2 linked regions of the Lepisosteus oculatus genome follow. The protein of the gene in region 2 interacts with the protein of the main gene of each other region in a pairwise test. Links are inferred from orthologs where the notes say so. Each region holds a gene or a part of one and is shown on either strand. Other genes may lie near its edges.

Region 1 (17,172 bases), on a different chromosome or scaffold from region 2:
AACACAACCAGTGTGGGATCGCTTCCTTAGCCAGCTACCCTCTTGTGTAGAGAGGAACGTCGGGAGCAGAATGTTTCCTGGGGTCTCGCACTCTTACAGGGCAATTACTGAGGATTACTCATGCAACCTCCTTTACTTTTACGTAATTGATTCTAAATGTCTTCTCTTATAAGCAGGCTGAATAATTAGCTGGTTAGCTGAGGGTTTATGCAAAAGTGTATCTTTCTGACCGGTATTTCTTTTCTTGTGCTTCGTGGAGACTAAGGTTATCAAAGATGTATTGTAAATCCAGGCATGTGTCAATGAGCACAGGGGCATCTATTCTTACTAATAAAACAGATACATTCATGTGGAAGTCTTTCTCTGTTTATCTATGCTTGACCTGGGTTGCCAGAGTCTTGCCTGTTTGGGTTGAGTAAGACCAGGGCTGTCCAGCCCTGCTCCTGGAGGGATAGTGTATCTGCAGGTGTGTCAATCGGTTCATACAGCATACAGAGTGCCATTTGACTAAAGACCAAAAGTCTCTGGGCCACCAAGACAGGACAAGATTTTGGAAGTGCTGTTTCAGACTGTGAGTCAGCCTCTTTCCAACACGGTGGATAAATACACTTCTATCGAGGCCAGGAATGGCCAAAACAAGACCTTAACAGCCACAGGATCCTCTGGTTTTTATTCAAAATCTATGCTTAATTATTTAATTGAAGTATCTGGATAAAAAAGTCACATTTAAAAGCAGCTGTACCATTTAATCTGGCTCTTGAAGACTGGAATTATCCATTCCTGTCTACAGTAGGTTCATTTATTCCAAAGATATAAGAGAGAAGGAAAAGTTGCTACCTGGTGTCGTGTTCCCAGACCACAGAATTCTGCGTCCCTCCACTCTTTTATGCTAGAGCGACTGGTGGTCAAGTCTGTCCCACTGTGTGAAGACAAATGCATTCTGACACTGGGGTGTCGGGCAACTTTAGATTCCAAGGTGGACAGAGAGAAACCAGGAAACCAGTCTTTATGTACAGTATCTTACCCCTGTGTTGAAAATGGTTCTGTGATCCCTTAAAGAAACTGCCTGATATGATTTTTCATTTTTTATTCCCTGCAACCACAAAAAGCATTTGTATCCTGCTATGTTTCTTCCATCCTGCCGATTTTGGAAAGGATCTATCCCACTGGTCTGAGGATAAGGACACCTGTAGACAAGGTATCACTGGACAATTCCAGAAATTAATATTCTATTCATTACACTCACTATGGTAACACCTGTCCAATCCTGAGGAAAAAGGGAGAACTGTACATATCCCAGAGGCTGATACAAATGTATTATACCTCTAATAAGATAAATATATTACCACAACACGCTGGTAATGTGGCACTTTGTAATGACAGCTTTGTGATAAAATGCAATTAAAGCAAGTCTCAGAACCATCTCAGGAGGTTATTTGATTCCAATTGTTCTATTATAGTTCAGATATATGGTCCAGTTCAAACCAAGACAATATCTCTTGTGCACAGGTGTGCACTCTTGGCGACTTGTATTAAAATCTGTCTAGGCAAATGTTTCCCTGTCTATTTGAGCAAACGCCAGGAGTCACTTGACTCTAACTGCTGTTGCCACAAGATATTCTAAATCCCAGCCTAGATGGAAACTGCTGTCAGAGATGACTTTCTATAATCCTGCTCAAAAAGAGAGATTTATATTGGTCTTTTTTCTGAAATATAAAAATCGATTTTTCAAGCCTGATGATACACCAAGGTCTGTGGTTTTTGCCTTAAACAAACTCTTGTGTTTTAACCGAAGATGTGCTGTGTCCATTGCCCTGAGACCCTGTATTGGAAGTTAGAAAATTGATGCCGTTAAGCCCTTCCTTGTCTTATACTCATCTCCCGCACATGCCTCCAGTTCCAGCCCCCCGTGCTATAAAAGCCAGATGTTCCTGCCAATCTAGGCTCAGCTTTGGAAGATGGATGCCTGGAAGCCCGCCTACCCGCGTGTCCGGGAGTGATTCGACGGCACAGGCTTCATCACGGCATCCTGACCTTCTGAGTCCGGGATTAGGGAGCGTCCGGTCCCGTGACCCCCCTTTTATTCCCCCGTCCCTCCGCCGGATCCCTCTCCGGCTTTTAGCTCAGTTTGTCTGTCAGGATGGATTACCCGGTCTTGGACTTTTGCTACACTCATGGATTTGCCTCGGAATCCCTCGGACTGTTTGCCTCGGCCACACCTCCCCCGGACACCAGCGCACCCTGTTTTCCTTCCAGCCCCTTCCAGCATGCTTTTTTCCTCATGTTTTCCTCACTCCTCCCCGGATTGTGTTGTCTGCATAGGGTCCTTAAGAACGTTTTGTGACACCTGTATGCCTTATTAAGACTGTCTTGTTTTATGCTTTGTATAAGCAAAAACGTCCCATGAAACATGTAGGAGTAGGAGCTGCTTGTAATAAAAGAAAAATGCTTGTGCTCTTTCCAGACTTTCCAAATGATACTTTAGAATCCCAGGAAATAATGCTAAAATATCACATTACAGGCATACTGTACACAGGTCTGCAATGCTGCAGTAGATCCACAAGATGGGAGTAGCGCACGAAATGTTTTCAACTCTTAAATGTACTGAAAGACTCCCTTTAACTTAAAAGTTACTTGACATCTTAACAGTTTCAATTCAGCAGTTTACAACTTCAATTAAGGGTTCAATTAAATAACTCTGCTAGGATGAAAACCATCAACTGTGGAAATCCAGAGCTGTTCTGTTCTTTAGGTTTGACTAATCTCTTTAAAAATACAGCCTCTTAATAACAAGGAAATGCTTCAACTTGTCCAATTAATCACATAATGAGTTCAATTAAGTACTCATTATGTCCTGAGATGGCAAGAAAAACAGAAACTTTCTGACCCTCCAGGACTTGAGGTGTGCACCCTGAATTGGGGAAAATGTGTCCATCTCTGTTTTTATTTTGGCATGACTAGATTTTCACAGACACCCTACATCCATACATGAAATAAGAACCACACCAGTTCTTTGTACATAGTCTGTCAATCAATCCTACCAATCCTGTAATGTATGCAGGATTGAACATACTGTACACCTCACCAAATGGTGCAGTTATACTGTAGTTGGAATTTGAAAACAAAACCCTCAAACCTTTAACGATAATGCCATGACAGAGGAATCCAATTATCTATATTTTTCATAGGAAATTAAATTTCATTTTTGCCCTCCCCACCTAGCAGTCTGTGCCAAAGTATTCTGTGCATTTCTATGACCTAAATCCCTCTGCAGGACAAATTTGTACAGTGACGTGTGAGGCTGGTACTGAGACTGTAACTGCAGCTGTCTCTGCACTGGTCAAAGATTTACAAACACTGACCTTTGGCCTACTTTGTATATCAGGTGAGCAGTGCAGTGTGACTGGGTGAAAGAGTACTTAAGGGTACGATGACTTTGCTGGCTGAGAAAGCTGTTGAGGTGAAACTCTTAAGGCTCAATATTCAAAATGCCTTGAGTATCCTGCATCAAACAGAACAAATGGTCTTTGCACGTTTTGCACACAGCAATGTAAACAAACTTTAAATAATTATATTGCAGTTTGCAAGAGGTTTCCTTTTGACATTTGTTACAAAAGGTCCATAAAAAGTAGCTCTAGGAAGCTACAGAAATCCAAGGCATTCATGCATGAAGATTGAGAATTGCTTCATGTGCTCTCAAGGGGAACATCTCAAAGGAATCTTACTTACTCTGTTATGTTAATTAGACTTAATTGGGCATACAGGTGATATAAAAATGAGATGTTTGGTGGGGTGCAGCAGCTGTAGCAAAGGACAAAGAAGCATTACACAGTACAGAATAGTTTTAATGTAAACGGGACCTAAATACTACAGTACATGCAGGTGCAGGAGCATGCCTTGGTAGCAAAAAAACATTGCATGATCCTTCTAAATTCGGTCACTTGTCTCGGGCCTGATTGTAGAGAAGCACTCCCTCTTATTGTGGTGTCCAAAATTTTACACCTAACTATATCTCCACAGCCTTTCTTACCTGTGCTCCCAATTCATTGTACCCCTTTTCTTTAATTAGATTAATAATACAATCATTGGCTCACAGGTCTACTCAAAAACCAGCTATGCACTGCACCTTGAGGTCCTACCTAAGTACTACTGAACAGTGGAGAAGTGAGATATGATCAGATGAATCATCTTTCTCAATGTTCTCAACAAACACACAAGTGCATGAAACAGCAGGCTTAGAGGAAATCTACAACCCTGAGTGCCTGGTTCCAACAGAGAATGGGTCTTGTGGTTCTATAATGTGGGCACTCCTTCCCTTAGACGACAAACCTAGCTAACTGTCATTCAATGTTGCTGAATGATTCATTTTCATACAGTGTAGTGGAATGTCTTTCCTGCTGGGAGAGGTGTCTACCAGGATGACAATGTCCCCAGCCGCAGAGGGTGTGTGGCCACCCGAAAGGTTTGGTGATGTTAGCCACATGTCATGGCCTTCATCAAATCTGCACCTAATCCAGGATTTACAAGATATTCCAGCACAATGCGCCAGACTGCATTTTACTCCTCCACCAATCAGGTGTGTGTTGACTGGCTTTCTCATGCAACAATGGTGCCACACCCCTCCTGGAGAATTTTACATGCTGGCAGACTCTATGCTGCAATGCACACATGCATACCAGGCTGCATTTGGTGGCCCAGAATCCTATTAAGTGACTTTACATGGGCGTTTCCTACTTTCTTGTCTACTACCTGTATATTATATGAAGGCGCTTCACACAATAGCTGGTGTGTTTTTTAATGGAGTTTTAGACTCATACAGCTGCTTTGTGAGTGATCAATGCCTTTGCATGGCCATGGCCGCAGGCAAGGGCCTAACCTTTTTTTTGGCAGCTGTTTTTAGTTTTCAGCCATATAAGATGTCTATGTGACAGGTGCAAGGGCTCTCAGGTCTCATCTTTCACAGATCCCTGAACTTCATGATCTACAGAAGTTCACTGTGCTGGCCTCCAGGATGGACTTGGCATCTGTTACATATTGGGTAGTTTGGTTCAAAACATCTAAGCTAATGATGTTTCATTTTTTTGTCACATTGTATCCTCTTATATCTTGATTGCTGAAGTACAGTATACAATTACAAATTAAATACCTTACTCATAGCAGAGCCTTTAGATGTTCGCTATTTCTAATCTGTCATACTCCCTGAAATACAGTAGTTTGTAAAAAATAAGGAATTCCGATAAGAAAATTAGTGTATTAGTGTATTAGAATCTGAAATAAAAGAAGATCTAAATGCAAATGGCTCATGCTATCTGGTGTATGAGTTTTATGACAACTCACACAACATAGGTATAAGAACAAGAATATCAGGAATAAGGACGAATGTGGATTAAGGCTAAAGACAGAGCTTGTGTAGAACAATAGAAATAATATTAAGACAGGTTTAGGTTGAGACCTTGAGGTTTAGCATGAGACATTGCATTAAGATTGAAATAATTTCCAGTGGTTTGTAATAATGGGCTGATGATAACTCTCAAAGGCTAAGTGAGAATTTACATCGCACAGAGCATGCTTGTAGGTAATTTGTCTTATTGATGTCCAATGTCTCTGTCAATTGCAACTCATGTCCAATGTTAATTTAAATATAGGTTGTGTGAAAGCAAAACTGACACTGAAATGCAGACACTTCCAATACCATTCAAACAACACAATCAGAGCAATGCTTAAGAAGAGTAATACAAACATGAAAAATGAGAAGAGGACTTTTACCTAGCTTTGCTCATTTGAATACTAGTGGCAAACGATCTGCGATTTCTACCAACTCTACAAGATGACTCTAGTTTCTCACAATAATGTGTTAAGGGAAGATGACTGTTTCCTGCCTTTAAATACTCATCAACTTAAACGCTACCTGTGTCCCAGGCTCCTTGGGCTGTTGTTGATTTTGAAATAGGGTCTCCATGTTGTCTTGATCAGGACCTTTTAGAATTTTGAGTACCTGAATTAGGTCCCATTACACAACCTCTACAACAATATCTTTCTACTAATGTGGTCACCAAAGAGAGGACTAGCCAATGCATTGTGTAATTCTATACTCTCAACATATCTGAGTATTTTGCTGACCTTTAATTGCTACCCAATACTGTCTAGTTAAAGAAAGTAAAAAAACTCTTACATCTTGCTCATATATTTTTCATTCCAATTCTCTAACACCTATTTGATATCTAAACTTCATGTGCTGGGTATGCAGCTTGTACTCTGCCAACACCATGTCTTTAGATGCCCCAGTTCCAAGCACTTGCACAGGGACCAGAGAATTATGCTACAGCAAAAGCTGAGCAGCATGTGTGTTGGTGCTGTTTGTTCAAAGGTATTGAGATGCTGACCTCCAGAGGATTACTCAAAAGTCAAATCAACCCCATTGCACAAATCTGTAAATACACTGTGACTCGACTCATACGTCCATGTTCTGTCTGCGTGTCTTCGTAATAATCACAGCAGCTGCAGCTTGCCAGGTAGAATTGACTAGATACAGTTTTCCACAACAGATTGGTCTCATTCTTAAAAACCAACTGAGCAACAGCTCAATACTTGCATACATTTGAAGCTGTAGCCCTTGACATGTTAAGGGAATTTAACAATTGCTTAAGTGCAAACAGTCATCTGCCCAGGAAATGTGTTATTGTCTTTCAGCTGGCTGCTTGATTTTGGCCCAAATGTTTCTAGATAATTGGAACGCATTTCAACCAGTGTGTGTGCCTCTGAAAGCATGGTTGGGGCTTTGATACTTACCTCTTAAACCCCACTGATGAAGAAGCAGCTGCAGGACGATGTTAAGAGAGGGGAGCTACGTCAGTGCATTTGCCGAGTAACCAGATAAAGAAGGTTCAACAGATGAAACATTGCATTTCTTCATCCTACTTTTCAGTGTGGAACTAACCTTTTCTTGTTCCCTTGCAGCTTCCAGTAAGATGCTTCCTGCTAGAAATCATTCAAGATCACACATGGTAGGCTAATGTAACTAAGCAACTTAAGTTCATTACTTGTGTTACCAGAGTTCAAGTCTTCTGCAGATAGGTGCTGGCAGATGCTTTGGGGGATATGGGTACATTGCTTGACCAAGACAGTGTATTCTTCTCTGATGCACTGTGGAAACAAGCTTATGTATCAGATGGCAGATTCTCTGTCCACTCTTTCTAGTCTAGGCATGTATACGTGCTTCTCATTCAAATGGAATAAAGAAGGCTGGTTTAGGCATGTCTTCTTGCAGCTTGCTCAGATGGGATGAAGAAGGCATCCTGGTCTTCCTTTACCTTCACAAACTGGAGCAGCTTCCAAGGCTTCCATGCGAAGGGGATGCAAGCACGTTGGGGTCCCAGTCTACCACGTGGGAGTCACGTCAGTGCAAAGCGTCAAGCAATGTTGAAAATTTACAGTCTGGCTGCCACCTGGCCTGCCTCCTGTTAAGAATGTAGCAACACATGGCTGAATCTGGAGCAGGGCTGTCAGAGGTTCAGCTTTGCCTACAGGGGTTTGAACAGCAGGACCTTTCTCTTTTGACCTCCAGTTCCAATGTAAACATAGGCTGGGCAAGGTGTCAGATTGGTGGCGTAAGATTTTGTAGAAGGTTTGGAAAAACTGGGCTGTGGTTGTACTTTAACACCTGAAGTGCCCAATAAACAGCCTTTAATTGGGAGATTTGATTATATTTCACTGCAGTGTTTTACATCATGTTTAGCAACAGGTATGAATAAACTTTGACTCAGCATTACGAAGACAGAAAAGCCTTGAGCTTTTTTCTTCTTCTATTGCACTTTCAATGTATTCAAAACCAGGTGGATGAAGCACAGCTTTCTTTGTTTTTTTCTTTGTTCAAAAAGGAGGAGCGACTTCTAAAACGCCAGAGCAAGAGTGAAGATTTTCTAATTCAGAGATCTCGATCCAGAAGAGATGGGTGGACTTCAGCTTCAAATAAGCATGCAGTTTCCAACTATACTATTTTTGTGGTAATAAAAGCACCAGTATCATTTTGTCTCAACAAACGCTAACTAAGCTGAGGAAGAAAACATTTGCTAACTGTATTGAAGTGTGGTACTGTGCAATGTTATGTAATGTGGTATTGCCTATAACTCTTATTTTCACAATTGTTCTACTTTCATTCTCATTCAAATTGCTATTGCATATACTGTACGTTACACTTAGTAAAAAACAGTACTGAACTTTTTTTACTACTATTATGGAGCTGTGAAAAAGTATAGAATAGGTCATGTCAAGCCTGTTGCTGTGCACACCACACGTCATGGCACAGTTCATATACTTTCACATGCATTTTCAAAAAACAGGCTGAAGAACATCTTGTAATTGTCGTGTTGCTATTTAATGTGGAAATCAGGCCCGTTATCAAACTGTAGGCTGCTCACGGCATGCAGCCCCTTGTGTTTTCTTGCTTTGCACCTGCCTGTTCCATCAGTGTATTTTACATTTTGTTATTGTTGCTCAATTAAGAGATGAACATTATGTTCCTAACAACAGTCGTGCCCAAACTTGGAAAACGTCTCGATCAAAGATAAAGATAAAATCAGTTTTCAGGTATTTGTCTTGTTTTGGCGCAATGACTCAAAACCCCACAGCGGCTTCCAAACGCGATACAGTGTCCGTCCCTCGTCACATGACGTTCTAGCGCGCTTTCCCAACAGGCTGGCAGTTTTGTTTTTCACCTTTATCTCCCAGCCAATTACAAACTAATTCACTACATTCATTAGTTAAATAAGACTGACTTTAACGAATCCACCTTCAACACAGTTTGTCTCTATGTTTAACTCAGACAAAAGTTATAAAGGGTATCTCGACAAAAAAAAACACGTGGAAACTTGTACGTTACACTGACCAACAAAGCTTTGCTGCACAAAACCGTAACTACACGTCCACCCAAACCCTTGCGAGCGACACCCAACTATATCCCACGTGCACGGAAGAGAAATTTCGCTGCGTCATGACGCATAAACAGCATAACGTGGACTCTGATTGGTAAATCTTTCTAATACGTCATTACGTACGGACAGGCATATATACAGGGTTAGCAGGGGGCGGTACGGCGCTGCAGTAGTAAAATTAGGCGTCGGGGGTCGCTGCAGTTTCCCCAGCAGAAAATCGAAACGGCAGTCAGAGTGGGCCGTTAGCCGAATCCCATAAGGATCGACACCGGTCGGATTAAACAGTGTCAGCTAAATCAGAGGTAGCTTATTTACTTTCCAACCGTAATTTCTCATTTTACTTTTTTTTAAAAATTCCGGTATCGTATCCAATTCAGTATCTCCTAGAAGTCTGTAGCTTCACCGCACCTCGTGCGAAATTCCCACGCATTTTTCCAAGCTTTCCACGATGCCCAAAATACTGGCGGGGACTGCGTGCGAGTTTCTCTTCGCTCATTACCGCGTGGTTTAAAAGGAGCCCTTGGTCGTACGTGTTTATGAACGGTTTTGTCGGTGCATTTAATGCTTTTGCTATGGATGATTGTAAACATTTCTCCTGAAATGAAAATGCTTCAGATCTTTCCACAAGCCAGGGAGTCCGAAAGAAAGCACTCATAGGCTGGGTGGATGTTTTGTCTTGGTGTGACTTGTAAGACTTTATATGTAGATCATGAGGAAAAATCGTGCGTTCCCGAGAACGGAAGTACAAAGCGCTCGTTTCTTAAATCTATGCGAGATCTATCTTGAGAGCATTTTTTGTGCCTGGTTGATATGTGCTTAACGGTATTAAAACAAGTTTGGGTGAAAGTCGGCCAACCTTTCAATATAAACCTTTTGTCTTGTAGGAGTTCTTCGGTAGTTTCTTAATATTAGAACTTTTAATTCGCTTCCTTGCTTTTCATTTTTACACTTTACTACAGTCTAAGGGCACACGGAGCTCTATTGTTTTTAAAGGGTGTAGCGTTGTTATCTCTTGCCTTAAGCATTAACGTGTGTCGTGAATAACGAAAATACTATCTGCAGAATTGGAGGAGGATGCTCAGATATATCTGTCTTCTGAGTGTTAGCTACCGTCTTACTCCTGTCTTGCGTTTAAGGGAAAAGGCGTTTTAATTTCCGAGACATGAACACCATTGCATTGATAAAATCCTTTATTTAAAATTATCCCGTTGTGCATGAAGACGTTCTATGCAAAAGTGTGCTACCAGAAGGTTTAGCAGTCCTCCTGATAGACGATGTGGAGCATTGGCATTGTTGAGCAGCTGTTAGACGCACTCTGCTTGTGAGGCCCCCTTGTGTGCTCAGAGATGGGGGGAAGGGGCCTGTCGTCGGGCGAGGCCGTGCACTTGATGGTCCCATTGACCTCTTCCAAATCGATTCGCAGCGGAGCCAGCCTGCGCATCTGCAAACTCGCTCGTCCCTGCCCTGACCCCCCTCCCTCCTCCTCCTCCCCATCGCTCCCGCCGTCTCAGTCTTTACATTTCATTCTTCCCGCTGGCCCCTCGCGTTATTCCACTCCTCCCCCACCCCCACCCCGCAGACAAATCTTTGTCTGTTTCCCGTTTTTCCTCCCAATCCCATTCCCTCGCCGCTCTCGGCGCTTGATCCCCAGTCGTCCCGTCTCTCTCCCTCTCTCCCTCTCTCCCTCTCCCACACCCCCTCTCTGCTTCTCTGACATCACAGACTGCTGATATAAAACCTTCCAGTAGAAAGGCGAGAGTCCTGCGCTCCTGCTGCTGCTCTGTCACACATTCTCCCTGTCGGTGTTTGACACAGCTATCTTCTTTCCTCCACGCAGACTGCTCGCTGACCCTCCAGTCATCATGGTTGAGGCTTTCGTCGGAACCTGGAATCTGCAGGAGAGCAAGAACTTTGATGACTACATGAAAGCCATTGGTGAGTGAATCCGGAGAGACCTAGGGCAAAGCGGCAGTCCTCCGTCTGATTGGAATTCATCTTTCATGCATAATGCACGTCTTGCAGTCGGATGATTCAGCCGGGCGCAGGTGCTGTCAAAACTGCTGCCATTTTAACTCTTGCTGAGCCACCCACGAGCCCGACAAAATCTGCCAAAATTGGTAAGGCGACCACAAAGGTGATCTTTGGTATTTGCGAGGTAAAATTAAGAGCTGGCGATGGAATTTAATGGAGAAGCACAGGCAGCCAATAGGGGAAAGATCAGTTTACATTGCCAGCCATAAGAATGTAAGCATTTTACCCATCACTGATAAATGGGAGATAAATGAAGCACTGCCTGCTGTGAGGCAGATGAAAGAAATACTGCTGTAAAATTCCCATTTTTATGGAGATGAGTCTTAAAAGAATCTCCCCATTTCTATTAACATTTTGCAGACATGCAAACCATGATGTGATGCAACACCACTCTCTGTTGAATTAGGAGGTTATGTTTGAGAGGTGGACATTGGGCACCCGTATGTACGTGTGCACTTTCCAAAGCAGAGAGCATGTCTGAAGTGGCAAGCTGGGTGTGCAAAATTCAGTCCTCTCGGTCCTCCGGCATGCACTTCAAATAGTGCTGATTTACAAGGGGGGGGGTGGGGGCATTCATTTGAGGAAGAAGTGTTTCAGCACATTAGCGGGGAGCTGAACAGCTGCCCCACCTTTTCCCTCCCCCAGGCTACGGTCTGGACACGTTCCTCTACTCTTGAGAGCAGGACATGTGCTGCTACATGTTCAATGCAGTGGTGCTGCTGAGCGTTATGTCATGTGGCACACCTCAGTTTCCCATGCTGCGTGCCCCAGAGGTCAGAATCGGGCTGGTTCAGCATGCGAGTCCAGTTAGAGTTTAACCCACTCATGTCCTTGGCTTGTCCTTTTTTTGTGTGGTTGAAGTGAACTAGTTTTGAGGGGGAAGACATTTATTTCTACGTTTTGCCTTGTTTGATTTGACCCTCATTTCATGCTTTCCCACCCCCTCCCTTTTTTAAAAAGCAGGTGGGGTGTATTTACCTCGTACAGAAATAGTGCTTGTTCTTTGCTCGGAAGCCAGATATCCCTTCATCCTGTTACCTGTTAAATGAAATGCGTTTAGTTTCTTATCTGCACTGAAACAACCTGGGCTTGGTCTCGGAATGCCCTTATTTTCTTATGTGCTCGCACACAGCCTTTCTGATACTTTCCAGTGTGTGGCCATCCTTTAATGCCTGTGTAAATGATTTGATAGTTTGCGACGGATGAGTAATGCAGTAAGTAATATATTGTATCTTTAAGAGCCGAAGTGCCAACAGTGCATTTTGTTGAAGTGGAATGACACGTTTTTTTTACATGAGCTGATAGATGAGTGTGCTTACTTTATTTGCCTCTCGTTAGTCTTTGTGTGTTCCTTTCCAAGTGCTTTCACACCTCCTTTTCTTCAACAGCGGGTTATTTGGTAAGTATTTGCGATCAAATCGGATTTCTGAGTTTTCACAGCTACAGGTATGGTGCCGCTCATGGCCTAAAAGAATACACTGCAAACTGACTGGAATAAAAATGATATTTTAACCTGATCATACATGTTTGGTGGAGTTGCCTTTTTAACTTTAAGAAGATGCTGTTGTTATCTTGAGTGAGACTGATGATTCTTGCAGGATGGTCATTGTCCATTAATGGGTTATGTTGGGGAGAAACGATGCACTTGAAAGCCACAGCAGAAAACCTGTTCTGAAATTAGTGGTGGGCTGAGCAGTTCTCAGGGGGGTTTGAGAACACCCTGACAGGTCTGCATGACATTGCAAAACCTTCAAGGTGTGGATCCAAATAACACAACAAAACAAAACAAACAAAAAATCATTTGGCCATTAACACATTTACAAACCGAACAAGCTAACCTCCCTGTATCACATTTTACTGCCAGCTGCTTTTCAACTCAAGACTCTCATGCAGCTGGTTATTGTATCCCAATGAGTGGGTCAGCTTCATCAGAAGAGCTGGTTTGGTCTTGAGTACACCCTGCATACAGTATGTGCAGCTAAGGTCTATGTTTCATTTATCCAATTCTGCCTTAATGTTAAATTTCAACACCTTTGCATCTTCTGATGACCAGACTCATAACGCTACCAGAGCAGAAGTGCTGAATGTGCAAGTGGTGTCTGAGCCACAGTTTTTGAAGAACGTCTTCCTGCAGCTTTAAAACTGCACGTTCATCAAAAGGCAGGAGCTCTTACATGCACATTACTAGTGAGTATTACATTGTGACCTCATGCATTTGTTTTCACATATAAACATGGTGAATTGTCTTCCAGGAACCCAAATTTAACATTGACTGGTCTGATAGTTTTTTTTAAGCTTTGTCTGCCAATATGCCGTTAACTGCCCCGTTAACATCTAACAAAGTTTCAATTGGGCAGTAATTGATGGTGGCTTTTATAAGGTGTCAAATGGTTGCTTAATTAGCAGATAAATGCCCCTTGTGCATGCAACAGGATGAAGCTCTCCACGCTATCGATATTAATCTAGACTCCGCCCAGTTGTGTTATTTACACAGAGTAAGGTCAAGTGTGCAGACGTCCAGTTTTTGGAATGATCATTTACACTGTAGCCACACCTTGCTCTGGCAACACTCCAGCAGAGTTAATATTTGATGGCGCCACCCCTTTGCCTTTTGCAAGAGACCATGTGTAGACAAGGTCGCGATTTCTGATTGGCTCTGTGTATGGCTGAGGTCACGACCAGACTGTCCTCAGTGACTCCTGGCCAAATGTTTAGCCATTGCCTTGCATCCTGGGTGTGGGATAGAGTGCCCATTACTATATGGCTCCATTTCCTGGGTTGTGCTAAAAAAATTTTCAACATACGGGCTAATCTGTTATAACTGTACAGTGTCCTTCAGAGCAAAATGTCAGTTTGTGTCTTATCCAGTTATTTTACTCCTTTCTATGGAAGCTTGTGCTTTTTCTAATTTGGTGTCTGTGTCTCTGTTTAGACTCTTAATTACCACTGTGGTTATTGCCACAAACAATACCTTCTGAAAACAGATTGTAAGATCCTGCCAGCAGGTCTATTATTCAGAAGCCGCCGCGCCTTCCTGTGTGGCACAAGTTAATCCACTAGATCCCTGATATGAAATTAAAGTTATTTTGAGATTTGTTCCGAGTAAGTTGTCTATATTCGGAAAATTGTGGTTGTCTGTCATTAACTCGGCTCTGTGCTGAAACAATTGAAATACCCTGCTGGGAAAGGAGCTGAGACTATCGACATGCCCAAAAATAAAACTTCAAAACAGTAGGCAGCTCTGTAGGGAGAGCAGATCGGGATGGGGGAAATTTAAGTGTGTAAGTTTTACTGTATTTGGATATAGTAAACCTTCCAATTGGATGAAAGGTACTGTTTCTTTCACTGTTTGCACGAAACGCTGGAGCTGGATATGGGCTGATCCTTCCCATCTTGAGTTCAGCTTTGTGCCCTTGGGATGCGCACAGCCTGGCAGTGTGGTGGCTGGTGCTGCTCCCTCACTGCTCTTGAAACGTGGGTTCAGTTCCAGGTGGGAGTTTGCATGCTCTCCCCTGGTTTGACTTTTGTTTTTTGAGTGCTCCAGTTTGCACTCTCCAAAGACTTGCTCGTTAGATTAATTAGCATTGCTAAACCCTCGCTATGTGTGTTTGCCCTGCCAAGGGCTGGGCTAGCACCCCCATCCTGGAAGAGGTCCTGCCAGGAAGACAACACCCATAGATAGTTTGCTAGTAGCTAACTGATTGGAGGATGGTAGCCAGTTTTTGTTTTCCAAGTTTTTGATAACATTTCTTCCAATTCTCCTCTGTTGAAGGCTAAAGAACTTGTTTTTTTTTTTTTGCCTGTTTATGTTCTAGTACCACATTGAAATATTGCATGAAAACCACCCCTATAGGTTCAGTGTGGTTTTTTGACTATACAAACTCAAGATGCTGGATGGAAGTCTGTGCTGTTTTACCAGTATTGTTCTTTAACTATTTTGCAATGAGGCTTTGTCAGGAGAAAATTATACCCACTATTCAATAACCAGGAAATTCATTAGATCTATAGACAAGAGGGAACGATCAGACAGGGGCTCTGCTGGAACAGCTTTGTGAACAAGCTGCTTGACCTGCTGTACTGATACTCCGCTGCAAAAAGGGAATGAACCTGATCAAACATGCAAACGAGAGGATCATCATTGTATTTTTTTCTTGTGGGGAAAAAAACAAGACCAGATGGTTAAAAAAAACCCACAGCAGTAGCAGTTGGACTGGTTTGGTAATGATATAGGCAGGGGTATATTCAGACAACTCTACATTTGTTTTCAACAGCTAGCTCGTTCAGGCCTTGATACAAATTGTTGTAGCTTCTCGGGCTCAGTGGGCAACAAAACGGTGAGATCCATGCCGGAGCTCATCCCGGTTTGAACCACTCTAAGCCAAATGGAGAGCTTCTCTTATTAATGGGACAGCAGTCCATAGCAAGAATGACCTTCCAGCAATGCTGGATTTAAGATTAATCCTGGGGCGGTGTGGTGGCTCTGTGGCTAAGGATCTGCACCTGTGGGTGGAAGGCTGCCGGTTCGTATCCTGCGGCCGGCAGAGGAATCCTACTCCGTTGGGCCCCTGAGCAAGGCCCTTAACCCCAACTGCTCCAGGGGCGCCGTATAAATGGCTGACCCTGCGTTCTGACCCCCAGCTTCTCTCCCTGTCTGTGTTGTCTCATGGAGAGCAAGCTGGGGTATGTGAAAGGACAAATTCCTTATATGCAATGGATTTTCCCAACAGTTGGTTCAAGTAGTTAATATTGCAGATTGAAAACTAGAAGACCCTGAAACCATGGGGGGCTGGCGCTGCCCATCTCTGATTCAAAACATTATCGATTACACATGGTTATTTTAAGACCATTTTGACAACCCCCGCACAAAACAAGCTATCTAAAATACTCATTTCATGTTTTGTTACAGTGTTAAATGATTTGCCTTTAAAATCCAATTTGTAAAACTCTGTGGGATCCTTCTGGTTGGAATGTGGGGATGTAAAAATGCAAGTTATTACCAGCAAGAATAAAGTCCATGAAGGATAAAAGTAAGACCCAGAAGAGGGATTGGGTGAACGTGCGAAAGCAGTAGGTTTTATCAGAAGATACAGAGATGATTACAGACAGCAAAGCTTGTTGCTGTAATAAATGAGTCCTTTAGCCAGGGTAGGTGCAGTAGATTGTGTGAACTGTGTTAGAATGAGCTTGTTCAGTTTTCAGTCAGTTTTCTACAGTCTTCATTGCGGTGTAGGTCGGTTAAATCTCATCACTCAGGGTCTCTCTCTCAAGCCACTGGTGATAAGCGGGACTGGGGCGTGGGATGGAGACATGCAAGTCCTAATGGACTGCTGCGCTGGAGGACAGGAAAGGACTGGGAAGCCCTGCACTATTAAACTGCTGCCATCTAGTCCCAGTATCACACTCCTACATCTTAACAGCTCTGTAAAGTGAGCAATTCTGCTCTTACTTCCCTCTGCCTTTAGATTCCAAATACCTGCTGTTATTCCTTATTTTAATTCATTTTATAGATAACTGTTTGCAATTTCTCAAGGCCCAAGACCTCTTATTTGAATCAGCTACTTTCTTAAATGGTCAAAAATGTGCTATGCTTTCTGCACTTCTGGCTGTGACCGATGGGTCCGAATTGTCTTTGCAGGGGTGGGCTTTGCCACCAGGCAAGTTGGCAGCATGACCAAACCCACCACCATCATCTCCGTGGACGGAGACACGGTCATCGTGAGAACGCAGAGCACATTCAAAAACACCGAGATCAAGTTCAAGCTGGGCGAAGAGTTTGACGAGACCACAGCCGACGACAGGAAGGTCAAGGTAAATCTTCCAGCTCCTGGTTTCCTGGCTCCGGCCAGGATTGTTGACCTTCATTTCTCTAAACCCTTGGGTGGAGGGCCGTTTCGTTTAATGCCGATTCTAAGGAGAAGGTCATTTGTAGCATTGGTTTTAGCTTTTCAGAAGGATTTTCCAAACGCATTTCGTTTTGTGAGTGGTAGTGCTAATGAGTGTGTCAGTTGGTTTGAGAAATGTAAACAGAAGCACTTGTGCGACTGTCTCGCACACATTTACTCGGTTATCGATATAAAACTACAACTGACATCCTGATAGAAAAGCTGGTTTGGGAATGATTGAATGAAAAGTGAAATTACTTGGTTAAATGCTTTAATCTCTTTTGCCCCTGAAGAGTTACTTCCTGTAATAACTTGGATAAAAACAGGTT
Region 2 (16,278 bases):
CTAGCATCACATTCAACCAAAAGGTAAAAAAATCAAATACTTACGCCTCTGAAACTCTTTGAGTTTGTTGATCGCATCATCTCGGTCCTTTTTAATTCTTTCAAACTGAAAACAAAAACGAACATTTGGGTCAATTCTTACCTTGAGAAGGAACCATAAAAAAGAAACTACATGAATATGGATATTTCTGACTGCTTATATCCCTCAAAAAAGGTGATATAATTCAAAGCAGTTAAAATCACTGTATGATTTCTGGTAAAGTGGGTAACACGCACTCTAGGAATCATGAAGAAAATGCACAACAGTTGTGAGTCTGAATTTTCACAGGATAATTGTGCAAATATGCTACTGACATAGTTAAAAAGCAATTCGAGTGTGAGGTGAAATCTGATGTGCTAAAAGTGCTTGAATGGCTGCCACAGAGTCCTGATATGAATCTAATTGATGAATCCATATGGCAGTGGTGCCCAATCCCTGTCCTGGAAGGTCATTCTCTCCACAGTTTTCAAATCCACTACAACTATAAATGATCTAGTTGAACTGATTATTGGCTTCATCCAATTTTATCACATTTCACAAATTACTTAACTATTACACAAACTACAGACTGACCTCTTTTCATGTGCCTGCTCTTGCTGGAGTAGTCCTCTTTTAATAACTGAAAATGGTCTGCTGGAGAGAACAGACCATGTTCTTTCCAGTTAACACCAAAAAATAGATTTGTACTTCGGCACTAAGAATTTCTGAAGGGAACAAAAATTGAAACTGTTGCAAAACAGAGTTCAATCCAGAGAATCAAGTTTTTAGTAGAGTGATAATGTCAATATTAACGTGTTATGTATTATTATATTACATGCCTTTCATCTTCACATGACAAGCCAGCAGGCATATCACCCTGCAACGCACAACTGGCAACCCCCTGAAGCTAAGCAGGTGTGAGCCTGGTCAGTACCTGGATGAGACACCTCCTTTGTGGGTCTTGATACCTCAGTTTAGTGACGGGGACACTATACTGTAAAAAGGGGCTGTCCTTCGGCTGATACATAAAAACGAGCTTCCGACTCTCAGTAGTCATTGAAAATCCCAGGGTGTTTCTCGAAAAGAATAGGGGTGTAACCCCAAATTTCCCAATGGACTTTACCAATCATGGCCTCCTAATAATCCCTATCTATGAATTGGCTTCATCACTCTGTTCTCCTCCCCACTGATAGCTGATGTGTGGTGAATGTACTAGCGCATTACTGCTGCCGTTTCATCATCCAGGTGGGGCTACACTTGGTGGAGGGGAATCCCCATTGCCTGTAAAGTGCTGGTGGAGTGTCCAGAGAAGTGCTAGAAGTGTAAGCAATTATTATCATCATCAACATTTTTTGTATACACTGTGATTATTTCTGTATTCAAAAATATGCATGGCAAATTTAGATCCTTCAAACTACATCTTTAACTGTGTTAAGGTTTTAATTTTAGAAGACAGAAAAAGATGGATTTCCTTAAACTAAAACATTTCTGCTACAATATTAATTCTCTCTAGCATTTTGGCCTCAGTTAGAAGCCAGGGAGACGTCTCTCCCTCTTAAAACTGCACACTAAGGTATATTGATGTACTGTAGGCACTTCATCAATGAAGGCATGACAATGGACCCAGCTTATGATGTCTGGATTTGAGTCACAGAGTCCCATCTCAGCAGCCTTCCTAAGAAGCTCGCTGAAAGAAGATAAGAAGTGCCAGGATCATTTTGTCTATACTCTATAATAATATGCAATTAAAATAAAAAGTTCATGTTTTGTGGAGCCTCTAGTTATGGGTCCTGTAGGTTTGCAAGATACCTTTTTAATAATGTACTTTTGTTTACATCTGAGTCACTGAAATTGTACATTGAGTAGACCTCTACTCATTTTAGTTTCTTCTAGTACATTTTCAGTCAACATTTCAGCCTACAGGATCCTCAACAGTCAGATATGAGAGAGGTATAGGAACATCTTCATCTTCATTCAGGTTGGACCTGTGAATACAAGTGTGACCCAATTTGCAACTATAATGGCTATTCAAAATCATGGGCAGGAACAGGTTCAAACATCGGCTATTTTCCTCGATTTTACTCAAATGTCTAGGTTTTCCCGTCTTTAAAAGTAGACCTATAAACTGGAATAATGCAGTTTGGAAAAAAAACACTACTTGTTTAAATTTCTCTCTCACAACCTATATCCACCTTTTGAACCTGACACCTTGTTTGTTGGCCTGGAAAAAAATACTAGGAAAAATTCACATTTTATCCAGCAAGCACTCTTTACAACTTAGTAGAGGATTGAAGGTGGAGGTGTTATGCAATATTAATACAATTATACAATATTAAATTTATAACTGAATTGGGCTCACAATGTCTCAATTTATTCCCTCCTCAGATTCTCTCTCAAAGTAATGTGTATTAGTTTAATCAGCAAGATGTTTATATACAGGTTTTCATACCAAACTGAATGTTATACAAAAGAAAAAAATCCTTGCAATTAAACAATTTCACCTATAGAAATGTTAGCAACTTGGATGATAAATATGAGTTTCAGGCATTCTTGCTTTAGGTAAAGCCATTTCATGTGCTTTACTGAATGATAATTCCAGATCAGATTCTAATTATGAAATTCTGCTTTCAAAAATAAATCCCTGCCATTGATCATGGCTGCAGTTCTGAAATCTAATCGTCTGTGATTAACTTGCGCACATCGGTTGTGGGATTATTATTGTACACTATAAATAGGGCCAAAAGATATGACCTTTTGATGAAAGACTGGGTGTAAAACATATTAAACGCGTTTTAAAATACGTACAGTCAATGAGATCTTTTCCAATACAAGGCTGTTCATGTAATTGAATGTGACATCTGTTGGTGATTACATTAAATCATGGATTCTGCATATGTTGTTAAAGCTTTCCATATAATACTACTAAACATAAAAAACTACATTTAAAATCTTTTAAATTGCCTCATAATCTGTTCAGTCACTGAGCTTGAACTTCACTGAGCTTTTCCAGGATATCCCTGACAAAACCCAATGAAAGGTTACACATCTTTATGTTTTCAAATTCATAATCAAGTAAAAAGGTTCTTGCTGCTAACATGGACATTTACATATTTACTGGATTAACCTCCAACATACTCAAACTGTAACACCAGCAAGATGATCTAACAAGATAGATGCCATCATCCTGGATCATTTGCTCCACAATAAACACTTAGTATATCCAAAAATGAGAATAGTTATTCATAAGTGGCATATAGATCCAGACCATTTATATATTTCTTCTTTCATATCTGATATATTTCATATTTCATGTAACACAGAACTTGTCATACTCTCCATGAATCAAAAGTGACAGAGCATATAGAGTGGTTGTTGATGGAATAGTTAATGTGTTAAGCATCAATTCCAATTTAATTAATCTTAGAGCTTATTGGTAGTCAAAAGTAACATTGCTGTAAAGAACTTTAAAAACATTCATAAATCAGCTGTGTTGCTATGATGTCTTGGACTTGTTTTTTGGTGGAACGGGCTGAACTGATTAGACCACGTTTCACATATTTGCCCTCGAGAAGGATACTAGATACAGGAGTTGACCTTTCCTACTGCTTCACCACCAATGGTTCCATTCCAGAGCACTGGGTGACTTCCAATTCTAGCACTGAACTCACCAAAACAAATAATTCTATCTCCCTCAGGAACACCAGGAAGGCCAGGGTTCCTTGATTGCATTGTCAGTACATACAGTAGATGCTGATGACCGTGACATAACAACTCTCAGGACTTCGTGATCGGGAGTCTTAAGGTGCTCATTGATTTTAATAGGAAACTTATCAGGATGGTTTATGAGTTAATTTTTTATGCCAAAACCACTTCAGCATTCAGTACTACTCGTCCTGTTATCCCTTCCCGAAGACAGTTTCGCTCCTTCACTGCTCTTGAGTTGTCTAGTTTCACTCACCAAGTCTCACTAAGGGCAACAAAGTGAACCTCACATCACCTAAGTTCCGGGACCCAAGTGCTGGGCAACACTCTTGCCATTCACTATCAATGCTATCTATGAAGGTGATGTTGAAGGAACCAAAACTGATTCTGTGAATTCGCAGTTTTTGAGAGTGGTTAAGGGCCAGACAACATTTAGGGCACCTTTACTAGCTTTCTCCCCATGTAGGGTGAGCAGAGCGGATTATGTCATTAGTCATTACCACACTTCTCTCATCCAAGTCCTGGGCAACTTTCTTGTAACTTCTGCCTTTGTGCATTTATGTCCTAGCGTTCAGAGCACTGTCTAGCTCTTGTCTTCACAAGATGATGCCTGGAAGGATTTATGGAATTATTGTTCCAGTGCAAAATGACTGTGCGTGGCCTTTTCTTCATTAGAACAACTGAAGAAACTTCAGCTTCCACAGTTCCCAACAGAATAAGACCTTTCTCCAAAAAGCAAGGAGAATAATTTGACATCTCATTCTGCTTTCACCGCCATAGAGACTCTAACATCATAGAATCACAATTATCTTAACGCCTGCGTTTATTCAGTTTCAATATACTCTCCAAACAGCCACATAGCCAAATTACACTAACCAATGCTACCTCAGTTAAAACGGACTGTAAAACATTTTAAACAATATCTAAAAACAAACCATATCTAACTTTTCCTGAAGTAGAGAGGTTAAGGTAATTTTGACTATTGCAATGGTATTACAGCTTGCAAAGCTGAAACATTTTAGATAAAAGCTTTATTAAAATTATTTTCTCCCAATTCCCTTCTAAATTCCACAGTTCAGTTAAATGTACACTGCCTCTTTCATCTCTACAGTTGTTAAATTCTTAAATTGTGTGGTGGTGAGGAGTGTAAATTATCACTGTCCCACTCCATGCTTGTGAATAGACCACCTGCAGTATACATTTTTACATCTTGGATCTTAAATCCATCTTCCAGTATTTATAAATACCAAGATATAGTTTGTGGCATTTTTGCTTTCATGAAAATTATATTATTGTAAGGACTGTTCAAAATGATTTACAAGTAGAGAAATGCCTGTCAGAAACTAGCGTGGTTATTAATGATCTACATTACAAAGCATTGGACATTTTCAGAAGTCACTGGCAACATAGATGAAGAATACCACTAGTCAAATTAAGCCTAAATTGGTATTGCAGCTGTATAAATTATTTCATGAATTGGATGCAATTTATTAGAAGGAATTATCTTTTTTTATTCATTGATTTGCCAATACTAATTGTGTGCCTGTTTTAATCATGCAATGAAATAAAAATCCATGTGTTAAAACTTCTGTTACATTAGAACCCATAAACATCATAAAAGGTTGCATATGAAATTTACTTTTTTTATGTGGCAAGTGAACTGAACTCTTTCGTTCAAGTACTGACTAATCAACTGCATCTTTTTTAGCTGTCCTTCAATTTTACGTGTTTAATCGCCTGTCAGAAATTATCATTTTAATGTCCAGCCAGAAAGCACAATCCAAATAATATAATAAAAAATGTTGTATCTAACATACTTGGCAGAACTGCTCAAGGACAGTGGTGGAACCAACAATAACAGATCTTCTACTTCTGAGGTGCAGCAAAAGAGGGTTTTAGGAGGATGCCAGTGGTGAAGGCATTATTGAAATGGACATCAAAGAAAAGGACACAATTATCCATATAAAGAAAAAAAGAGATGCTAGGCTACTGACCTCTTGCTTGGTTTTCTTGTGTTCTTCTTGGAGTCCTTCATACTCATTTATAGCTGTGGAAGCAAAATGAAGAAACTGTTAAAGACTGAATCACAATTCTGGATAAGCTGAGAGGAATGTAGGATGCAGCTCCAATTTTCTGAAATGTGTTCTGACCTTGTTTTTTTTTATTTCTTTAGAAATATCAATGTGGTGGAAAATGATTGTACCCCTGATGAAGCCTTGACAGAACTATATGTCTCATCTCGTCTGAAGGGCAAAGTCTCCATCAGTTCTGAGTATACACACATAAAATAAAGAGGAGTGCTTCAGAATGCTTTGGGAAGTTGAAAAAAAGCAATGTTTGAGGAACACATTACAGGGCTTGATCTAAATTACTTTTCACAAGATTGTTCTTGCTTTGGACTTCATCTGATACAAATCCTTTCTGAATCTGTTAATCAAACAATCACATTGACTGCTGTGTTTGAACATTTCCTATTGCTGTATTTGAAAGCAAGTATTACAATGAAAATGTCCCCTAACTTACTGAAAAACAAAGGTATAGTGGGGAGACACCATGTTAGCATCTGAGCTACAAAAGAAGAACTGGAGGTTAATTTCCATAAAAGTAAAACAAAAAAGTAACTAAAAGTAATACTAAAGTACTTACTAAATACTAATTAAATATTAACACCTTGGCTGTTAAACTCGACTGTGTTTAATCTTTCTTTTTACTTTTCATCATGGAATAAACTAGCCAACTATATCAGTAGGTATCAAAGCTCTGTTTGACATGAGGTATATTTCTAAGAGCTCTGCTTTGTTAAAAACAAATGTCTTCCTAGCATAATGGCCAGGCAATGACTTCAATGGTTTCTGGACTACCACTGGACATTTATAGTGAGCACTTATGTTTGCAAAGCATTAATACAGCATGCCATTATTGGAGACATTTACATTAACATAAAAAATGACAGAGGAATTTTAATTATTTGCTTGGTTACTCAGATAATAAAAGTAGTGCTAAGCATTCTAGTATCTTGTATATTAGTGCATGTACAGTATCATGTGCAGTATAATGAGGTGCAAGATGTCACTTTTATAAGGACATTGTCACTGTTTTCTAATGCTTCTACTTTTATAACACTTCAAAAAGGACCCCCAGGCTATACATTGATATAGTGAGGGTCCAGTACATGGTGATTATAATACAAAAACTTTTAAAATTGTGCCAGAGATCAACAACAAATCACAGATTTAATGCAATAACAACACTTTCAAGTTCTGGCTTGTTAAAATAATTGACAACATACATTTTACACCTTAATAATACAGACAAATTGACTTTTAATGCTATTGTATCATTTTGACGTGGTGCAGTAAAACATCAGTAATCTCCAGGGAATGCTGAAGGACATCAGCACTTCAAACATGCTAAAAGACTGTAATTAACACCAACCTATTCACTTTAATGAGGACTGTTTGCATTATGGCAGCTGGCCACTTGAGAAGCAACTTTGTATAAAAGGATGAGGTTGAGCAAATGCATTATTTTAATGTGTAATTTTAAATATGACACAGGATGAGATTCTTAGCCCTCGCACCATAGTTGTTGATGGAGAAATTAAAAGCTTTAAAATGCTTTAGAGGGAGACAACATTTATGACTTCATGGTCAATTGATAAAAAAAATGTAGGGCCCCATATTTGTATTTGCTGAACATTAGAGCTGAACATGTATTGTGGTTGAATGCTGTTTGTGTGTTTATGGGGAAGTGAGGAGTGCTTTTTGTGATTAACAATCAGCAATTCGTCATTTCAGGACAGCTCATCATAAATTAATCTACCAAACTCGGAAAATTACTGAGGCTCACACTGGGAAAATTGTGCTTAGTCTATTAACTTTCTGAAGGAACACATCAAACACGTTGCCTCGACAACCCCTATGTGGCCACAGATCTTGAGAAGTCATTTCAGGCCCTATTTGTATTAAATGTGTTAATTACATTGTAGCATCTTTCCTTGACGCATTTAAGATGATTTCAAAGACTAAAAGCATCACCATTAACTATTGAGCAGGTTTCCCATCCCCCTTCTTCAATGAAAAGTTTTTTTATCCGTCTAGGAAAGCATATAATAATAATAATAATAATAATAATAATAATAATAATAATAATAAACAGGACCCGTTAATCATTACTGTCTTTAAACTTACATATTACTATAAAAATATTAAGGATGGTCATAATAACTAACAACAATACCAATAAAATATATTGTTAGAAGTAAGAATGTAGTATTTAAAGAGAAATGTTTTTGTCGTTTACAGCTTGGAAATAGCATCTCTCTGTAACTAAAGTCCGCCAGACGTTTACCTGTAGTACCCATCATTGAAATTTAGACATTGTTTTACATAAATATTTTTATTTCCAATAATAACATAGGCTTAATGAGTAAACATCTAGAGTGTGGCTCTTCTCAATGAACCCGGTTCAGTGATTTGTCTTAGGTTTCAATTTCGCTTTGAAAGTTGCCATGTAGATTTGTGAAGAATTCTACCTGGTTCAGTCAACGGCCCCTGTCTTCACATCACATTTAAGGCTTCCCATCTGTTCTTAAACATAAGATTCTTAAGAGTCTGTTCCGTTCGGTGAGTGTATGAAGTTTCTTTTTACACTCATCGGGTCAGGGGAGCATTCCGTAAACTTTCATAAAAATAAAATGTAGGTACCATGTTCAGCAAAATACGTTGTCTCTAATAGCTTACCTCGGTTGGATAGCTGTGTAATAATCTCCATTTGCTTTGTTTCCTCCACATTCGCCATTTGAACAAAATGTGAAGATGTACCGTCCCGGGACGTTGTATTTGATATGTCGTATACAGACACCCTCAGTCTAACACAGGAAGTAAACTCTGTACTCACCTGGGCCGTTCAACATTATCCAAGCCTACGGGACGTGACGTTGGCAAGAATTTCTTGAACTCCAGGTATGCGCAGGTACTACTCAGCTGGGCCAAACTCGAAAATGTTTTTCTTTCTTTGCTATAAAATAAACTCCACTGTTAAACATACTTCGTTTTCCTTTTATGAAACTAATTACAGCTTATATTATTTCTGTATTTAAAATAACATTTTTTTTTTATTTTCGTTTTCATACACAAGACGCAAAGTATTTACTAAACGGTTTTATTTTTTGCCAAAAGCGTAGTGTCTACTAAACTTGTCACGAGTTTTGCTTGCTATGGCCTAAAATCAGTTGTTGTAGGTAGTTTGAGTGACGTCACATCGGATTAAAATGGAGCTGTCAGATTGTGGTGGAGTGCGTTTAAACTCCGAAATATTGATTCCTGACATTACTTAAATTTCCCATGAATGTAATAAATTCACTTTTGTCTGTTGCACGTTTGTTTACGTTATGTCTTTGCATTTTGCAGCTAGTTAAAACAAAACCTATCATCAATCTTAAGCGTCATTAAAAACACTCATTATGAACCTTGGAAGGTTTAGAGGCATCATTCACGATGCATAAATCACATATTTACTTAACATGTACTCTACTAAACATAGCAGTATTCACTTGCTTGAAAAAATGCAGTTCGTTGTTCCCTATAAAATTGTATAGACATTTAATCACTCAATTGCCAGCATGTAACTCCATGAGTATACAAAATCTGAATGAATCAGTTGATGAATCAGTTGTGAGAAACAAAATAAATCATATTTAAAAATGCCATAATTCTATTTTAATATGTATTTATTAACTGTCCAATCATAGGAACCAGATAAATTGAATAATATATTTTATATATACTAAAATTAATGGAGTTATTTGTGGGTGAAATTATACAAGAAATAGCATTCTTGGCTAAACACCCATTTATTTATTCATTATTCACATTTGCATTACTTTATATGCTCCAACTTCAGTAGTGTAATTGGTTCTTTATAAGTGATGCAGAAGCACTCAAGTGTTCTTTAGCAGGGTGCAATAAAAAGGCAGAAAATCGAAAAAGGAAAGTGATGAATGTCTGATCCTTTTTGTCCCGCTTGCACAAGACATATCGGAGATACTATAGTAAATAGCATAATGGAGTTGGAGAAATATTCTAAGAATTTTATTGGTAGTCAAACACAGAACAAAACACAATAGGAAGTATATTGTTCACAGTACACATCACATACAGTGCAGTTATTGTAAACATAATTTAATTTAATCTAGATTGATCACACAATTGTTTCCAGTCACAACAGAAGCCAAAGGACAAAATAAAGATTGTCATCATGAATCAGACTAAATATAAATTCACAGCTAGGAATACAACTAGCAGTGGTGTCAACAGAAATAGGCATCAAATGCATTTCATCCTGTCTTCAAGCTTGTTAAAAATACAGTTTTTGTATATGCTAATCAATTTGCAGAACATTCAGTTAATTACAACTGTATGTTTTTTTAAACACATTATTTAATAGCATAGTATTTAATAGAAAACTATTGAATTTCTGCTATTTGCATGAATCAAGCATTGCCTATTCCTCAATGTTAATCCTGGCTTCAACATAGTCTTAACTGGGCTTTTTATTATGTTTTATATGATGTATGTTTTGACATTTTTTTATATTGTTTTTTATCATGTTTTGATTGGGCTCATGTAAACAAAAAGTATTCTGAAATAAGAAAGTTTTTGATAAAATGGTCAAAAGCACAAGTGAACAGCAAAAGAAGGCCCCATTCAGGCAGGAAAGATCCAAAGAAGACAAAAAGTCTAATTAAAAATCAATTCTGCCTTGCATAGATGCCAAAATACCTGCACTCACTAAAGGCAAACACTCCCTGCATACAAGTAAATCAAATACAGCACACCTGGTTGAAGAGAAAACACTCAGCGCTTTTTATAATACAGACCTGGAATGGCCTTGTTGCATGTCGGGTTTTGTGAAAAACATGCACACATTATTTAACAGAGCAAAACATTAAAGCAACATGTTTCATCAGAGGAGGAATGAATCTTTGCTTTGCTTCAAAATCATTGCATCCAATCTACCTAATTGTAAACCAAGAGGGTGACATCAGAACAGATTTTTCAAGAGGAATAAAACAAGACATAAAACCACATTCATTTTTTACCCTGTCAGGATTGTCTTCTGTTTTCGAACATAACTTCATATTTCAGATTTACCTCTAGATACTTAAAAGTATGCAAATAATCCAGACATTTATTTGAAAGTTATTCAGAAATTTACTACAGCCATTTATTTTTAACAAGGACAATGACAGTACATTGTTTTTAACAAGGACAATGACAATACATTTAAAATGAAACAGGTAAGGTTATTGCTATATGCTCTATTGAAGATCTTAGGCCTTCTCAATGCCTAGCAGCAGACTCCCTGGGGTAGAACTCTGCCAAGGTAGACTGTGGGATTCTCTTCAGCATCTCCTTGGGGAAGATTCGGAGCAACTGCCACCCAATATCTAAAGTTTCGAACACTGTTCTGTTATCATACGGACCTAGGGCAGATCAAAACGCAAAGAATTACTACACTGGCAAAATTACTGAAAATTTCCACCTGACCTTTCCATGACTCATTCTTTGATGACCACAACCGCATATCGGTTTCAGAGAAGGTATCTTGCTCTCTATTGTGTTTTTCTGCAGCAGAGATCAGTCAAGACACGGTTTTACTGAAATTATTTGATCAGTCTTAGTCTTCATGTCAAGGTAAAACATGATTATTTTATCATGTTATTATATACACACTCTTTCAAACCCGCTCTTTCTCCACACTGTCATAATTCAGTGGAAACACATAGACGTATAGGAAATTGACCAACTACATAGCCTTTGGCTCTTCTTATATACTGGGAGTTTCAAATCAGAAAAATACATTTCAATTTGATGAAATTATGAAGAAAAATCTTATGATATTTTGGAAGCACCCTTAAAAATTAAAATATTAATAAGAATCTAATAAGAAATAAAGTGCTGTACTCCTACCCTTTAAAAGTGTAACTATATACAGTATGACTCTGATCCAAGAAAATCTTTCCCTTCAACAGGAGTATGTCAGTATTGGAGGTTATCTGCTTTATACACTCATTAAAAATATTCATGCATTCTACTGACATAGAAAGCAGTAACATTCTTATATACTGTAGTTGCTAATTAACTTCTATATTTTCTAGCAGAAGTAGGCAGAATTTAAGGTGAAGATAAAGTAGCAGCATGTGAACAGGAAAGAGACTGCAGAAAAATCCAAGAAACAAATACAGACAAAAACAGGCAGGAAGTGGATTTAAAGCATTAAAGTGACTAATACTTGCCAATGACACTCACATGAGTAAAACGAGGTCTGCAAACATAATCATTACATTGTCTACCAGACAATCCTTTAGAAAGGACGAGTGTAGCTCTAAACTTACATTTATTTCACAACAGAATTGCAATTTTAACAAAAAATGTCAGAGTGATTAAGGAAATTCAAGTTTCATGCAATGTAGAATTTACTCACTGTACAAGACGATTTCAGTCTATTAGAGGTGAGAGAACCATGACAGGAGACTTGTATTATCTAGTCTGTCACTGATTTCCCCCACACCAATAAATCTTGCAACCTGTCATATTCTTACCCTGAGCAATGAAGTTCTTCTCAAACTTCTGCAGAAATTCCAGATACAGCAGATCATCTGAAGTCAGGGCTTCCTCTCCCACTACAGCCTTCATGGCCTGGACATCCTTGCCAATAGCATAGCAGGCGTACTGCAGAGAAAGGCGTTCAATAAAGCAAAGGCAACAACTGATTTTGTTTTTATTCATGTCAGAAAAATGCACGTGATACATCTTTGAATGGTAGCACTCAAAAGCTGGGTATAGTGCAAGGCCATAAACATTTAAAAAAGTGCCTTCAACAGTGTACTGGTGAGAAAGAAATAAAGAAAATGCCTGTCACATTTAGTTGATTAAGCTTAAACGTGTTTTAGACATCTGTTTCTGTCCTTGAAAGTGTTACTATTGGTTTTATTGTTGTTATATTTGTGATTACAAACTATTTCTACAACGAAATACATCTAGTAACTTTCCCTGCTGATAATATGCCACAGGAATGACCTTGGGTAGAATTGTTGGAATATTTATTTTGCTCAGCTGTAAGGAAGATTCCATTATATACGTTTACAATATATACATTGGCTGTCATGTGGGCTCCAGGTGTCCTTTACTGGGTTATCCAAACACCCCAAGCTCTAAGACTTCCAAGATATTTTCCTTTTTTAATTTCAGGTTCCACAAACCCACAACACCCATGTAAAGTGGGGTTCTCATTGTATGTTGGGGTTAGGGGCAACAAAAGTGCTACAAAAAATATAAGAAACTACTTATATGGGCCGTTTTACGAAGTAGATTTAACAAATTCAACTTAACCCAATACCTGAGTTCAGGCTTACTCCAGTTTCACGAAGGCAATCTCTGGTTTCAGTTGTCATGTTAAATCTTAAGCAATCTGATTAACCACACATTAAGGGGAAGTTAATCAGTAGGCAGTAGGGTTGAACACTGAATTGTGCATCCTCGCCAGCAAAAACCCCAGCAAAAGAACATGTGTCTTAATCCAGTGATCATGCATTACAGCTCCTTATGGAAAACTATGAGGAGGGCAAATCTGCTGTAATAGGGTAGCTTTTGCAAAAGCCAGGGAAGATTTCCGGCAAAGAATTGCCAATAAATTGAATGTGGACAGTAATTATGAAATCAGATTAAATATATTAAGGTAAAACTTCAAAAGAATTGTGTGAACATGCACGTGTTGTCATTACTTATTTGATAACAGAGGAAACTTTCTGATGACCAAAAAAACTGTACATTATGAACTCAGTCTTGCATCTAACCCGCTGTAGGCACACACATGGTGTTTAAAACTTTTGATGGAAATGATTGATTCATTATCATTTGTGTATTCAACGTTCATATGTTTTATGCTAGGCAGGGCCTGATGCTGTGAATTGATTTTCTGTGATCAAAAATAGCTTCCTGTGCAGTCCAGAGCACATATTACGTTAGGAAAGGCTGGAAGATCAAGGTACTGTACATAGCTATAGAGAACAGAAGCTACATGTACACTGGATAGATATATGAGAATATTACTGGCTATTTCACAAAACCCTAGTTTGACAGTATTCACTAATGTAAAAGAACAGGTAATGGGTTTATTCCATGCTGAAAAGAAAAGAAGCTCACACTCAAAGAAGACTCCACTGCCGAAACGTTGTGTTTCCTTTTTTCTCTTTTCAACATGGAATGAACCTTTAACTGTTTCTTTGCAGCCTATGCATGCTGACACAGCTACCTACTTAAACTACTTCACTCATGTAAGGCTGAGAAATGTTACAAATACATGCAAAAACCAGTGCAAACACCACTTTCCTTATTGCATGACACAATGTCTCTTTACCGAATGCCTTTGAGTCAGCAATGCAGTAAAAAAACTGCACCAGTCACAAGGAAATTCAGCCCTGGGCACAGAGTTTGACTTTCTGTTAATGCTGAGCTATAATGAGTAATATGTGTTAACAATATATGGCCTGAAGAGATTGTGAATGTAAAGTATATCCTGTATCTTTTAAATACAAAATATGAACAAACTGTAAAGGGTCTTGGTGATCTCTAAACCTTTAATTCTCTCCGCAAGACTCTTATGTATTATATATTAACTCGATCCCTGAAGAAAGGTGATGTCATTTTTTTGCAGAGGACTGATGGGTCTGTGGGTTGAGCTCTTAACCACTAAGTCAGGCTAACTTTAAATTAACCTGCTTAACTGGGTACAATTCAGTCTTGCTTTGTGAAACCAAAATCCAGACACTTGACAACATATTCACTCAAGTTAGCGAGCTGAGTTATCTTTCTTTGTGAAACTGCCCCATAATGTGGAATTTCCCCTCCAAGTTAAGGGGTGAGGTAAGAATAAGGACTTAATTTATGCAACGTATGTGGGGACAGTTCTCCTATTAGAAACAATGAATTATTGAAGACAAAGGGTAAGGTCTTTAACTCATAACAACCCAAATATATATAAGGACTGATGCAACACTGTACTGTTTGGTCTAGTATACAACAACTTCTGATTTTAAGGAGTTTTGAACAGTATTATTACTTAAGAAAAACTAATTGCAAACCATTGCTATTATGTAGTGTCCAATATGTGACATTTTGAAAACATTTTTGCAAACCTATCACTCATTTCTAATTCTTTTCATTGTAACTTATCACTGAGTGGCACTCTGGTTATAGTTATTTTGTCTTAACCATTAATTTCCTCAATAAGATTGGAGAATGTGCATTGCAAATAATCAGAGTGCATGGTAGCAACAACACCCTGGGCCATCGGCTGCATGATGATTGTTGTCCTCAGTGGCTTAAACATGTTCTTCATGTTTGGGCAAAACTATTAATAATTAATCGTTGTGTGTACATTAGTACTGTCTGAAAGTAAAACAAACGATTTTTCCCCCTTTCAATAGTTTTTAGTGCTGGAGCCAAATAATGAAAAAAACATTCATAGAAATCCTGCTTGGTAATCCAGGCATTCCAATGCAATTCCCATTTTACAGGAAGCCGAGATTTACCAACATTGTGAAGTGCCCAGAGGTTCACTTCTGTACATGAGTGAAAGCTTCAGTTTCTTGTCACCATTGGAGTTGCCTCCTATTTGAAGAGTAAGCTGTACTTTCAAAGCCTCTGGAAACATTTAAGATTAACTGACCTTTATCTCCACATTCTCATCTTCTTAAGGATTATTGATGAGTTTATTCAATGTTTTATCAACTAAAATGGAATTTGTTTTCAACTAAAATGGAAAACAAGTAAAACCCTTTATAGACAAATGTACATTGTATGAAAGCATTACCAGTTATGCAATTTAGCATGCACAGCATCACTCTCTTAAAATACACAGAGAAGCTCTTTACCAGTTGGTTGGAGACATCAGCGTGGTCTTTGCGTGTCATCCCTTCTCCAATAGCTGATTTCATCAGTCGAGACAGAGAAGGCAACACATTGATAGGAGGGTATATCTAAGGGATGTAGATTTAATGTTGGATTTTTAGTTTTTCTATTGTGAACTATTATCTGTTATCATAATTAAATCACATTGTATCTGAACCTTAATATCTGTAATGATTTCATACACACCTTAAAGGTTTTGTGTCCATGTTTGTTTGGACACATGTCAATAAAAAAACATTTGGTATTTAACCTGTTGTTCAGGGATTGGCATAAATAATAAAGTCTGATAAATTCAGCTTATAAAATTGAAAACAGAGAAAAGTATTTATGGAAATATTATATAACTAATGAAACAATGATGACAATACAAAATGTTCTAAAAGTTTTGTGAGTGCTATGTTTTCAAGATCATCTATTCTATCCACATGTTTCTCATCCTTTGGTCTTAAAACCATTCCCTGCTATAATATTAAATAATTTTACTAATTAAAAGGTATTTGTGCTATGAACCTCTTTTTAGAGTAAGTGCTCCTCAAAGGAGGAAGATCTTAAGGAAATGGTCTTGAGATTGAGAAACTCTGAT

What was found.
Region 1: the proteins of shtn1 (region 2) and fabp3 interact in binary tests that used the Homo sapiens proteins (3 or more experiments, as listed by UniProt). The two-hybrid records come from large-scale screens. The link is inferred for Lepisosteus oculatus from reciprocal best matches to the Homo sapiens genes SHTN1 and FABP3.

What each region holds. Positions count from the first base shown.
Region 1 is NC_090706.1:10,133,231-10,150,402, reverse strand, and holds the start of fabp3 (fatty acid-binding protein, heart), read left to right. Parts: upstream 1-9,118; 5' UTR 9,119-9,232; intron 9,233-10,627; exon of another isoform or gene 10,628-10,767; 5' UTR 10,768-10,792; coding exon 10,793-10,865; intron 10,866-16,596; coding exon 16,597-16,769; intron 16,770-17,172. Other genes in the region: procathepsin L-like, read left to right, coding at 1-50. UniProt on the Homo sapiens protein: FABPs are thought to play a role in the intracellular transport of long-chain fatty acids and their acyl-CoA esters.
Region 2 is NC_090699.1:32,164,830-32,181,107, forward strand, and holds the start of shtn1 (shootin-1), read right to left. Parts: upstream 8,603-16,278; 5' UTR 8,521-8,602; coding exon 8,463-8,520; intron 6,031-8,462; exon of another isoform or gene 5,894-6,030; intron 5,768-5,893; coding exon 5,715-5,767; intron 106-5,714; coding exon 45-105; intron 1-44. Other genes in the region: atp6v1ba (V-type proton ATPase subunit B, kidney isoform), read right to left, coding at 11,064-11,206, 12,326-12,455, 15,659-15,763. UniProt on the Homo sapiens protein: Involved in the generation of internal asymmetric signals required for neuronal polarization and neurite outgrowth.